Linked DNA regions of Bombyx mori. The protein of the gene in region 1 purifies or fractionates together with the protein of each later gene. This does not show direct contact. Links are inferred from orthologs where the notes say so. Each region holds a gene or a part of one and is shown in the gene's direction. Other genes may lie near its edges.

The links.
Region 2: the proteins of bystin (region 1) and RNA-binding protein pno1 fractionate together in Homo sapiens (co-fractionation; 4 studies listed by BioGRID and IntAct, with this or other methods). This does not show direct contact. The link is inferred for Bombyx mori from reciprocal best matches to the Homo sapiens genes BYSL and PNO1.
Region 3: the proteins of bystin (region 1) and serine/threonine-protein kinase RIO2 purify together in Homo sapiens (affinity purification with mass spectrometry; 3 studies listed by BioGRID and IntAct, with this or other methods). This does not show direct contact. The link is inferred for Bombyx mori from reciprocal best matches to the Homo sapiens genes BYSL and RIOK2.

Annotation. Positions count from the first base shown.
Region 1 is NC_085121.1:8,924,467-8,928,617, forward strand, and holds the start of bystin, read left to right. Parts: upstream 1-1,295; 5' UTR 1,296-1,471; coding exon 1,472-1,606; intron 1,607-2,206; coding exon 2,207-2,330; intron 2,331-2,900; coding exon 2,901-3,138; intron 3,139-3,210; coding exon 3,211-3,367; intron 3,368-3,526; coding exon 3,527-3,718; intron 3,719-4,151. UniProt on the Homo sapiens protein: Required for processing of 20S pre-rRNA precursor and biogenesis of 40S ribosomal subunits. May be required for trophinin-dependent regulation of cell adhesion during implantation of human embryos.
Region 2 is NC_085126.1:8,647,662-8,652,019, forward strand, and holds the start of RNA-binding protein pno1, read left to right. Parts: upstream 1-1,494; 5' UTR 1,495-1,927; coding exon 1,928-2,163; intron 2,164-3,277; coding exon 3,278-3,440; intron 3,441-4,358. Other genes in the region: NADH dehydrogenase [ubiquinone] 1 alpha subcomplex subunit 10, mitochondrial, read right to left, coding at 13-717. UniProt on the Homo sapiens protein: Part of the small subunit (SSU) processome, first precursor of the small eukaryotic ribosomal subunit.
Region 3 is NC_085127.1:1,634,593-1,637,802, forward strand, and holds the end of serine/threonine-protein kinase RIO2, read left to right. Parts: intron 1-382; coding exon 383-554; intron 555-950; coding exon 951-1,070; intron 1,071-2,178; coding exon 2,179-2,628; 3' UTR 2,629-2,668; downstream 2,669-3,210. UniProt on the Homo sapiens protein: Serine/threonine-protein kinase involved in the final steps of cytoplasmic maturation of the 40S ribosomal subunit. Involved in export of the 40S pre-ribosome particles (pre-40S) from the nucleus to the cytoplasm.

The DNA of each region.
Region 1 (4,151 bases):
AAGGGATCATTTATCTTATAAGGCTTTGCACTTTTTTATACGTACACGCGAGGCATATTTAAAAATAGAAAACAATACGTAACTGATTTGCCAAACAATAAAATAACACTGCATTGATAATTTTGAATAAAAGTTCTAGACAAAAACATCATGAATAAACCAGATTCTTACCAACATTTAAAAAATATTGTTATAACTACATAGACAACCCTACACGCCTGTACCTATTTATACTTAGGTCGTTCCCATTTAACTTATTCTCATCCCAATTGCCCATCTCGTTGTTATTTGTACCTCAGACGTCCCCAAAAACAACAGATTTTTACATGTTTTTTTATATTATCAAAAAACATTAAAACCAATAACAGTTGAGACTTACTTTTAATACAATATGATGGTTCAAACACTAAATAACGTTTATAAATCACAGTTGTCTTTTATTATTATCAAATAAATAAAAGAGAGTAAAGTCTAGCACTAAAATAATTACCACAACAAGAAGAATAAGATAGCAGCTATTATCATGCATATTCAGAGTTGTTTTGTGAACTTTTATTACACTACAAAAAATGGAAGATTTTGCAACGATTAAAAAACTAATATTGAGCGTCGAAAGATTTTCCTGCTTTTCCCCATTCACCTCTCAAACCCCAATAACCCCATTTTTCGGTATATCAAATTTCAAGTTAATCCGACGTTTTGAAGGGGGTCAAAATCATGTTCAAAGATTCCGTTACAAACTATCTTTTATTAGCTTCAGACGTATGTAACGTCTGAAGCTAATAAAAGCGTATTAAAAAAAAGGGGTGCGTGTACTTATGTACGCGCGTAAGAAGTTATACTTTATTTTTATGATTATTATTTTATTTTATTAATAGCTACGTCAGTCGTATTGTAGTGAGCGATTTAGTGAGCAACTTCATTCTGTTAATTTTGTGTCACGGTGCGCGCGCCTAAAGAAGTATAACTTCAAAAAACGTATGTATGAATTTTTTATTTGGCTACAGCGTGTATTATTAGGTTTTTTTAGGTATAGTAATTTATAGATGATCATAGTATCTCTGTAGGTATTTTGGACGCCCGCCATTATTTTCTAACTTTATGGTTAGTTTTTTGTCTTTTATGCTTTAAATTTAAATCATAGTTTTTCAAAATTTTCAGTAATGTAAAACTTTCAATATAAAGCCGTGGATTTTATATAATCCTCAGTAAAATTAGTGACAAACAAAAGATTAGGCTGTCTAGGCTATGTAGGTTGTATAGGCTATGTTCCCTTAACTCGAAGACATTGACAATGTCATTACAGCTGCAAAAATTTATGACATTTTCTAACTAAAAAAACAACAGCACATGGTAAATCTTTGATAACGTTTACAATTTATGTTCCGCAGGAACGGTTTTTGTATGTAGTATTAAGAAAACTGTGGTGTTTGTTAAAAGTTTCCTTACTGACCATTTAGTTGAAACTAATATGGGTAAAGTTAAAAAGTTGAAGCCCTCACAAGTGGGAAAAAATTTAGCTCTTGCTGATCAAATTGAATCTGGAAATTCAGTCAAAATTAAAAATAGGACCAAAGATAGAAATAGGCACGATGAAGACGATGAGGTAAATTATGCATACTACTTTAAATTATTTCTGTAATCTATTTAAGTATAATGTTTTATTTATTTATTTTGTTATTGCTTAGATTGTTGGACATGTCACTGCCCGCCTGGTGTTAAGTGGTTACCGGAGCCCATAGACACAACGTAAATGCCGCCACTCACCTTGAGACATGAGCTTTAAGGTCTCACTTTTAACAGTACAAAGGCTGCCCTGCCCTTCAATCAAAACGCATTACTGCTTCACGGCAGAAATAGGCCGGGTGGTAATGTAGGCATTAGGAATCAAAAATAGGCAGATGGCAGATTCTTCTTCTTCTTCTTCTCCATCGCTCCCTCATTGCTGAGGATCGTGACTCCGTTTTAGCTTGTCTACTGTTAGCCTCCATCGGTTCCGGTCAGTTGCCTGGTGTAGTGCAGCGCTAAGTGGTCCGCTGGTTTGCTCGGAGATCTGGTTGGACCAACGTTTGGGGCTCCGGCCTCTAGGACGTTTTCCTTCTACTTTCCCAGTGACCATCAGACGTTCCAAGTTGTCTACACCTCTGCGGGCAACGTGCAGATGGCAGATAATGTCCACAATAATCGATTTTATATATTTTTTCAGTTTGTAAAAGCAGATTTGTCTAAAAAAATTTTAAAAACTGCTAGAAGGCAACAAGCTGAACTAGAAGACAATGAGATTGGTCCGTCTCCAGCAAAACATGTCACTCTTGTGTCAAGCTTTAAAGGTAAAACATTCTTTTTTTTTATGTTGATAGAATTACTGGTGGCCTGGAGGCCTTTCCAGTTTCACCAGGACAGGTGGGTGAGCAAAGGCTCAACCAGGAGGGGTGGGATTTGCTAACAGCTGCCCAAGCCCCTCCAAAGGAGACCTAACAACTCAAGAGCAACTGCTTCGCGAATGAATCTACAACCGGATTGGAATCGCGACCCGCTGAGAAGATCCGGCGAGAAACTCAGCAGGCTGATGCATGGCTTAGGTTGGACGTCGACTTCTTTGTTGAATTTGACGAGTACAGTTACCAGGGTCGCTTAGCCTGTTCCTAGTGTTAGAGCTGAAGGCATCTAATGCTAAGGTTATTGGATCTGATGGATCCGTAAGGACGTGTGTAAAACATTCTATGACAGTGTACATGTACAGTAGAAGTAAACAAATAGTGAACAGTCATTTTTGTTATAATGCAATTAATTTCTCAAATGTACCTTGTGAATGAACTGAAATTATTTTCAACTGCAATTTAGATTTGATAGTTAGTAATTCCACTTGTTGAAAAATAACTAAAGATATTATTTGTTAGATAAAGGATCAGATAGTTCAGATTCAGAGAAGGATGACTTGGAACCTGACACATACTATGATAACATTGAAATCAACGAAGCAGATGAAGAAGCACTCAAATTGTTCAAATCATCTAAAACAGAAAGAGTTAGAACTCTAGCTGATATTATAAAAGAAAAAATTACTGACAAACACACAGAACTACAGACTCAGTTCTCAGATGCAGAAACTTTAAAATTGCAGAATATTGATCCAAGGTAAGTGAGATTGATAAAATTTTTGATCAAAATGAAGTATTACAATCTTTGTATATAAATTTTGAATTTCAGAATAAAAACCATGTATGAGGGCGTAAGGGATGTACTCCAGAAATATAGATCAGGCAAATTACCGAAAGCTTTCAAAATGGTGCCACATTTGCAGAATTGGGAGCAAATTTTATACTTAACAGAGCCTACTACTTGGTCAGCAGCTGCTATGTATCAGGTTAACAATAAGAAAATACTAATAACAATAAATTTAGTAGTTGAATAATACTTAAATGTCTGGCGTTAATGAATGATATTCGGAAAATCATAGCTTTAATCAGAATTGAAGGCTTTATTTAATGTTATCACATTATTCATTATGATTATTGGTTTGCAGGCAACTAGAATTTTTGCATCAAATCTTAAGGAGAAGATGGCTCAGAGGTTTTATAATTTAGTTTTACTACCACGTGTCAGAGATGACCTTGCTGAATACAAAAGGTTGAATTTCCACTTGTACCAAGCATTGAGGAAGGCCTTGTTCAAACCTGGTGCTTTTATGAAGGGAATTTTACTACCGTTATGTGAGGTAAGATGCCAAGTTTGGGATTAAAATTAATATAAAAGTGATGTGTTTTGTACAACACACTGTAAAGGAGTGAGTCACAATCAAAATTTTAAACAAATAACTTTTATTTTTATTCTCTTGTCTTCTCATCTCAATCACATAGTTAGGCCCAAGCCAAACAACCATTGATAGGAAGGTATGCTTGGTATTTGTTGAGTAATTTTTTCTGTTATTTTTAATGGTCCTATTATGTGATTCATATTGCATTTGATTGTTGTTCATTTTGAAGAAATTTCCTGACTTATCCGCAATTGTTTAGGTTTGCTGCCTTTTGTGATAGGTAGTAGGATCATTATGTTAATTGATTGATAAAGCTGTAATTTGATATCACTCCTGTTGTTGCCAATCCTGTGGAAACTAATGTTACTCTTTGGATAAGCCAGAAATGCTTGTG
Region 2 (4,358 bases), on another chromosome or scaffold:
GTGATTACAAACCTTGGAAACAGGAAGATCCAGATAAATAACTAGATGTGGACGCATTAGCTCCTCAATTGTGTTTTCTCGCAGCTCATAGTAAGTTGACCTGACTGCCTTACTCAAGAATTTCTGAGAATACATAGCTTCCAAGAATACAAAGTCAGAGTAAGGGGACCTCTCCAACACAATTCCTTGGCCAGTATTGAACAGGTGTGCCAAAGCATCAATATACTGACTGTACCGGGCCACATACATCATTATTTGGAAGTTTGCAGCCAAGCGATGGTTAGGATTCTGATTGAAATTAACATGGTCAAAGGTCCTAGTGTCCTCGGGTACTTGGTCGTCGAAGGACCTCAAGTCGACGCCGTTCGGACGAATATAGTGCAAATCCATGTTAGCTTCGGGGAAATGCTTCATACCCAAGTCATCGGCTAGGGAGGCTGCAAAGGCGGTCTTACCAGCAGCTACCGGCCCTTCCACGATTATCACTTTGCTGTTATCATCAAACCTGTGGGTCGTGCGGTCGATTAAGCTGCGCAACCAAGTGTAGTCCTTGTTCACATAGTCAAAGGGTGCAGGTTTCGGTGGAGGAGGTGGTAGCGCTTCCCGCATGGCCCGCCCGGAGATATTCCTATTTTGTACAAACGTACATGCTGCTATTTTTGTACCCTGAGTTGGGCTGATAACTTTAATTACAGCTGTTCTGACGAGAGTAGCCATTGTGGCTAATGTACCTTATGAATTGTGAAACTGTGAAATATTAAATAATTTCGAATGATTAGGTATTTGAATCATAAATTGAAGTGTTTATCTTAAATAAATCACTTTTTCTCACCTCAAATCAATACATAACAACAAATCGCAGCTAGAAGATTTGTGACATAACCATTTTAATACGTTCTGAAACAGTTAGGTCATAATGTTCATAATAAGTGTATAATCTATGAGTTAGATAAAGTTTTTTTGCAATAGCAGCGTTGAATTCTCCCAACTTTTAATAAACGTTAAAATTATTTTTAAGTACCTAAGGATTTAAAAAAAATATATATTTATTTATGCCGATCGAAACTTATTACACATTTAGTAATAGTTCAAAAACCCTTTTTTGCTATAATATATTTTTGAACGCTTTTCGCTCGGATTATGCACTTAAACATAGATTATAGCTCTTAGAGTCAAACTGAAATTACCAAATATGGAGAGTATAGGCGTTGGGCAGGACACCTTGCGAGATATACGCATAAAAGATGGACATTAGAAACCACAACATGGGAAGGACCAGTGGGCAAAAGAAGAAGAGGCCGACCAAGGGGCAGATGGATCGACGAAATAATAGCAGCAACTGGAAAAGAATGGAGAAATAAAGCCAAGAATAGGAAGAGTGCAGTAAGCTGGAGGAGGCTTATACCCAAATGGGGTTCCACTAACACAATTTTTTATTTGATAAGGTGTTTTATCTTTCTTTGTTTTTGGAAATAAAATGGGCTTATTATTATTATTTATCTGTGAAAGTGTACAAATGTGGAAAAATAAAACAAAGCCGCTAGACGTAACTTTTCGGGATCCTCCAAAAAGTCCACTGAAAAAGTGTCAGTAAATGACCACCATTTTACTGAGATTATATTTCATCCCATATCATGCCACGGTTCACATTAATTAACTTCATTTCATTTCGTATCATTTTTTATATATTTAATAATATATGTATATATAAAAGATTAGGCAGTATGGTATAATGCCTTTGCCTTTCCAGTTGGAAAAATAAAACTACTACTACTATGTTAACGTCAACGGTGTCAAAGTCAACAGCACATTCTTTTTGTTTTCCAACACGTGAAACATGTGATTGTTTTATTTTGTAATAAAATATAATCTCAACTGATATTTAATTACCATTAAATTTCACCTAAGCGACGAACCTTCTCACAAAATGGAAACGGAGAACATAAGTGTTGATGATTTTTTGCCAGCTAAAAAGACGATGAAGCTTAAAAATATAAAGCGCAAAGCTACAGATGACACCGGAGATGGTATGGAGGTTGAAGAGCCCACAATTGGGGAAAGCAATCCAAAGAAGCCTAGAAGGAACCGAAAAAAACATAAAAAAAGTTCAGACCCTAATGAGAGTAAAGTTGCAATGCGAAAAGTTGCGGTCCCAGCTCACAGGTAAATTAACCTACAAAACTTCGTAAATGAACACACGAACAATTGTCATAAGGCCAAAAAGAATAATAATTGTACCATTTAATGATTGAACCACTTTGATTTAATCATGTGTCAGAGTTCAATCTGTCATGTTCTTGTTGAGTTCATTGAAAATGACGAGACATGCCACCTAACCCAGGGAGATAACTTCTGAGTTTTTCACTCGATATTCTCAGTGGGTCACGATTCAGGTCCAGTGGTAGATTCAGTAAAGCACTGCTGCTCTTCCTAGAGTAGGTGCTAGTAACTTCTCTTAGGCTGAGACCTTTAAGCTCCTACTAGTTAGGATGAAACCAAAATAACTTCTTGAGCCTACCGGAGTTCATTAACTTGAGGAAAAAAAAGAGTAGGTTCTAAGTCTAATAAAATATGTACTCATCTTCTTCAGTGACTTCTACAGAGAGAGAATAACATTGAGTAATAATGTAATAAGTAATACTGAATATATTCAATGATCGTAGATTGAAATTTTCAATGGTTTTTCTTAGGGTAATACTAATAAAATTGAGATTAAAATGGTTCTGGAGGCTTAAATTTTTATATACAATCTATTATTATTATACATAGTTCATTACAAAATATACACAAAAACTGAAAAAACTAGCTTGATCTTATTCACCTTGGCTTTGGGGTGAATCAGGTTATGTATGATAGACTTTTTCAATAGGGCTGGCACTATTTAGTTGTTAGGTAGATGCCTAACTTTAGGTAATTCACTTTTTATATCTTTAATGAGTTACAAAATTTTGATGACTAACTTAAACTATGTAATATTCTTAAACACTAAATAAAAGTAATTTTCAGTTTAACCAAGTTAAATCTAACAACTCAAAAAAAGTACTGTGACATCCCAGATTTGTCCCTATTCTACCTCTAGTCCCTATTTCCCCCAGTCTACTGTACTGAAGAAAGCTGCACGAAACTGCAATGAAATTTTTCTATTTGCACAACTATTATCCAATTGAGACTAATACCTCAAGTCTCAAGGGGGGTAGGTGGGTGTGTCACACGAGGTAGGACATGAGCTCATTCACCCATGAAAGACATATAATAATAGTATGAATTTTGTTTTAAGATATACACCACTTAAGGAAAGCTGGCTGAAGATATTTACTCCGATTGTTGAACACTTATTGCTACAAGTAAGGTTTAACACGAAAACGAGGAATGTTGAGATAAAAGTCGGACCAGAAACAAAAGATATTGCAAATTTACAGAAAGCTGCTGATTTTGTAAAGGTAATTTTTGTTATTATTAAGAGATATGGAACAAGGGACTATGAACAGTACCAATAATAGATCAGTATACCTTTAGAATTGAAGTAGCTTAACTAAAAATGTTAAGAAAATGAGTTTTATACTTTGATCTGTGTACTTATAAACATGTATCCTGAATGCATAAAATCACATTTTGTTAATTAAAAATTAAAGTTAAATAAGTTCAAAGAATACTTTCCAACTCTTTTAAATCCAATGCATACCTTAAACCACTATCCTGCCCATTTCTGCCGTGAAGCAGTAATGTGTTTCGGTTTGAAGGGTGGGGCAGCCGTTGTAACTATAGTTGAGACCTTAGAACTTATATTTCAAGGTGGGTGGCGCATTTACGTCGTAGATGTCTATGGGCTCCAGTAACCACTTAACACCAGGTGGGCTGTGAGCTCGTCCACCCACGAGAGCAATGATAAAAAAACTTTAAGGTATGCACTTTACGGCTTAAAGTATTAAAATAAAAACTGAAAAATTACAACTCTGTGGTATCTTTCTTATATAAAAAAATAAGACTTTTGTATTAAGCCTTGCAACTCTAAAGGTGCCATATATGTACCAAGAAGATCAATGTTTCATATCTGGGAACAGTTTCTTGACAACTGACTTTTTTTTTACTTTGAATGATCTTACAAATTTGACAGTGGCATCCCAATAGATTGCAATAATGCTAGTACTGAAGGTAATGGTTTCATCTTTGCCAATAAGAAACCAAAAATTGCAATGTAGATAAATGTGGAACTACTTAATACTTAAATTTCATTCTAAAAAAAACATTAACATTACCGATATAAACTTCTAATGCATTAGTTAATTATTGCTATTATTATTTAAAGAATATAATTAATCAACAATCATATTTATTTATATATACAAATAATGTCTGCA
Region 3 (3,210 bases), on another chromosome or scaffold:
AGGCGGATTATCCGTAAGGCAAACTAGGCACGTGCCTAGGGGCGTGTATTTACAAGGGGGGCTCGAGCTCAGAATTTTTAAATAAATAAAGATAATAACATCGACGATTAAGAACTAAATGCTGATCTATAATCTAAATCTATAATAGATTATATTGCACAAACATCGATATACTCGTATTATGCAATGTTGCGGGTTGCGGTTTATGTGCAATATTATGATGGCCATTTATGGCCGGTACAGGGGCGCCGATAAAGTGATTGCCTGGGGGCGCTCTGGACCTTTAATCCGCTACTGCCCCCATGGAATCATTAGTTTGTGTGTGATGCCTTTGATTTAGTGTATGTGTGTGTGTGATGACGTGTCGTGTCTGTGGGTGCAGGTACTTCGAGCGCGACGTCCGGTGCGTGCGCGAGTTCTTCAAGCGCCGGTTCGGGTTCGAGAGCTCGCTGTACCCGGCGCTGCGGGACCTGCGCCGCGCCGAGCGCCTGGACGCCGCCGTGGCCTGCTCGGGGTACCGCCGCGCCGAGGACCTGGACGACCGGCTCATGCGGGTGACTCGCGCCTTCCACGAATTATATCTTTACACTAGCTTTTGACATCGTCCGCGTGGAATAGTTCAAAAATAATGCTTTATTTTAGAACAAATTTGGTTAGCATAAAAAACGTTATAGTGAGCCAACATATTATTATGAGAAACATAGTGAGAAAACATTTTACTGGCCTGAATTGTGAATCTAAACTTATCTCGAATTCATTGGAATACACACATAAAAATTCATGAAATCTGACAAGCCGCTTAGGTGGAATTCACTGACATTTACACGGACAGACGAATTATATAAATGAAGATGAAATTTTAAATAAAAATGCATATTTTTAAAAATCAAAAATTTGTAAGTAAAAACATATTTTGGATAATTAAAAATGAAACATTCAATATATTTCAGGAAATGGGTATTGGTCTGGAAGAGAGCGACGACGATGAGTCGGACGAGGAGTTTGCAGACGCGGTAGACGAGAGGAGCCCCGCCTATACTGACGAGGAACTAGCGGCCCTCAGGCAGCAGGTGCGTGCGCGACCGCCGTGCCGTGCTACACAATAATCTATGCAGATATTATTCCTAAACGAACGATGTTTCGGGGTAATACGACAAAGGGATGAACTTACTGGTGGTAGGACCTCGTGTGAGTCCGCGCGGGTAGGTACCACCGCCCTGCCTATTTCTGCCGTGAAGCAGTAATGCGTTTCCGTTTGAAAGGTGGCGCAGCCGTTGTAACTATACTGAGACCTTAGAACTTATATCTCAAGGTGTGTGGCGCATTTACGTTGTAGATGTCTATGGGCTCCAGTAACCACTTAACACCGGGTGGACTGTGAGCTAGTCCACACATCTAAGCAATTAAAAAAAAACTTGACTACCGGGTGTACTTGCTCGGTAGAGTCGATGCCAAAGTTGTTCGGAACTTGTACGTATGCAAAGTTATAAAAATTGTCGTTATAGTGATTCTCGCATCAGTCAAATATTTTGTGTTCTGTGATAAATACGCGTTACAGATGAGAATACTTTTTTTTTTTAAATGAACTATGCGACACACATATTCTTGTGAATCTTTGAAACGGGTCCAAAGGTTTGGTATTGTTTAAAGCATTGGCGAAATCTTTCTAAAAAAAAGGGACGTTACAAAAAAAAATATATTATAACGCCATCTCGTAAATACCTGAGGTACTATAGTTGTTGCTAACAGAGTTTGGCGCACTTGTACCTCTGAAACTCTTGCAATAGATGTCGCTTACATAAATAAATTTATGAAGTAAAATATTCTTAGGAATTGATAAAGCATTTGTTAAAGGAAATATTAGAATGCAAAGTTTATGTATCGACGCTTAAAAGGCAAACGTGACTAAGCGACAATGCGTGAACTTTACAGTAGACTAATTTAAAGTTGAAATACCTGAAAAAAAGTCTATCTTAACGAATCTAGCTGTAGAATTGAAATTATTTTAATAGATCTAGAAATATATATTTTTTGCGCATCAAATATGCCTATTGCCTATCATTTATGTACAAAGCAGTTATTGTCGCTTAGTCACGTTTGCCTTTCAAGCGTCGGTATCTTATGATCGTAGTGGCGTTTTAAGGTAGTGTGAATCAATAATAATAAATACATTTGCAGGTGGACATTTCAATACAGAACGACAAACGCAACGACGTCATCGACAACCTTACTACAAAGACCGTCACACTCCATATTACGGAAGAGAACAAATCCGAAGCAGAAGAAGTACCGACTCTCGTTAAAGCGGAGGAGGAGGCTGAAGAAGTCACGTGCACAGAAGACACTGATAAAGTAGGAGAATTGAATAAGAACTCGCAGAAGTATCGACTGGCGATGATTGAGAAGGCGTTGTCCGATGTGAGGTCGATGAGATCCGACACGTCCGCCAGCACGATAGCCCCGGCTGTCGTCAAACTGCAGGTGAAGAAGAATCTGGAACAGCGACAAAAGAAGATGGAGAGGAAGAAGGCCGTAGCGAAGGGAGAGGCCAGCGCCGTCACCAGGAGCCGGAGGGACAACTCCGAGACCATCAGGGAGAGCCACGGCTTGTGGGGCTGGGACGAATAGATATTGTTGTGTAGTTTTATTAATAAATCATTATAATCAATAGTGTTTTTTTTAATGCATTAGGGGGTCAATGAAGGGGGAGGGTGATGGGAGAGATGTGCTCCGCACTAAACGCTTCACTTCCCCCCTTTGCCTTTTCATGAGTTCTATCTCATACGAGGTTTGGACTTTGGTTGTTGAGCGACAGGAGGTTTTAGTCAGTTCGACTCCGACATGCCCCGCCCTCCATCCCCAGGGGAGGGCGGAAGTCCGGCGATTTCCTCCTGACCAAAAAAAAAAAGCGGGTCAATGAACTCAAGGCCTATCCAATAATCCCCGGAGGCCATTGACGTGTCGCCGCCCTTGAAATGATAGCCCATTTTTGTTTCGCGGTAGACATGGGCAGGATAGTGGTGCCTACCCACATATTGCGTATTGATGATCGCGGCACGCTCATGAGAAGGCGTCCCTTCCTTCCCCGATGTAACCCTAAGTTTCTTTCATGACACGTACGAGAAGACAAGGGGTCGTACCTATCTAATATCGAAAAAAAAAAAAGGTACGACAAGATTCCTTCAAATAATTGATGCCATTACATAGTTT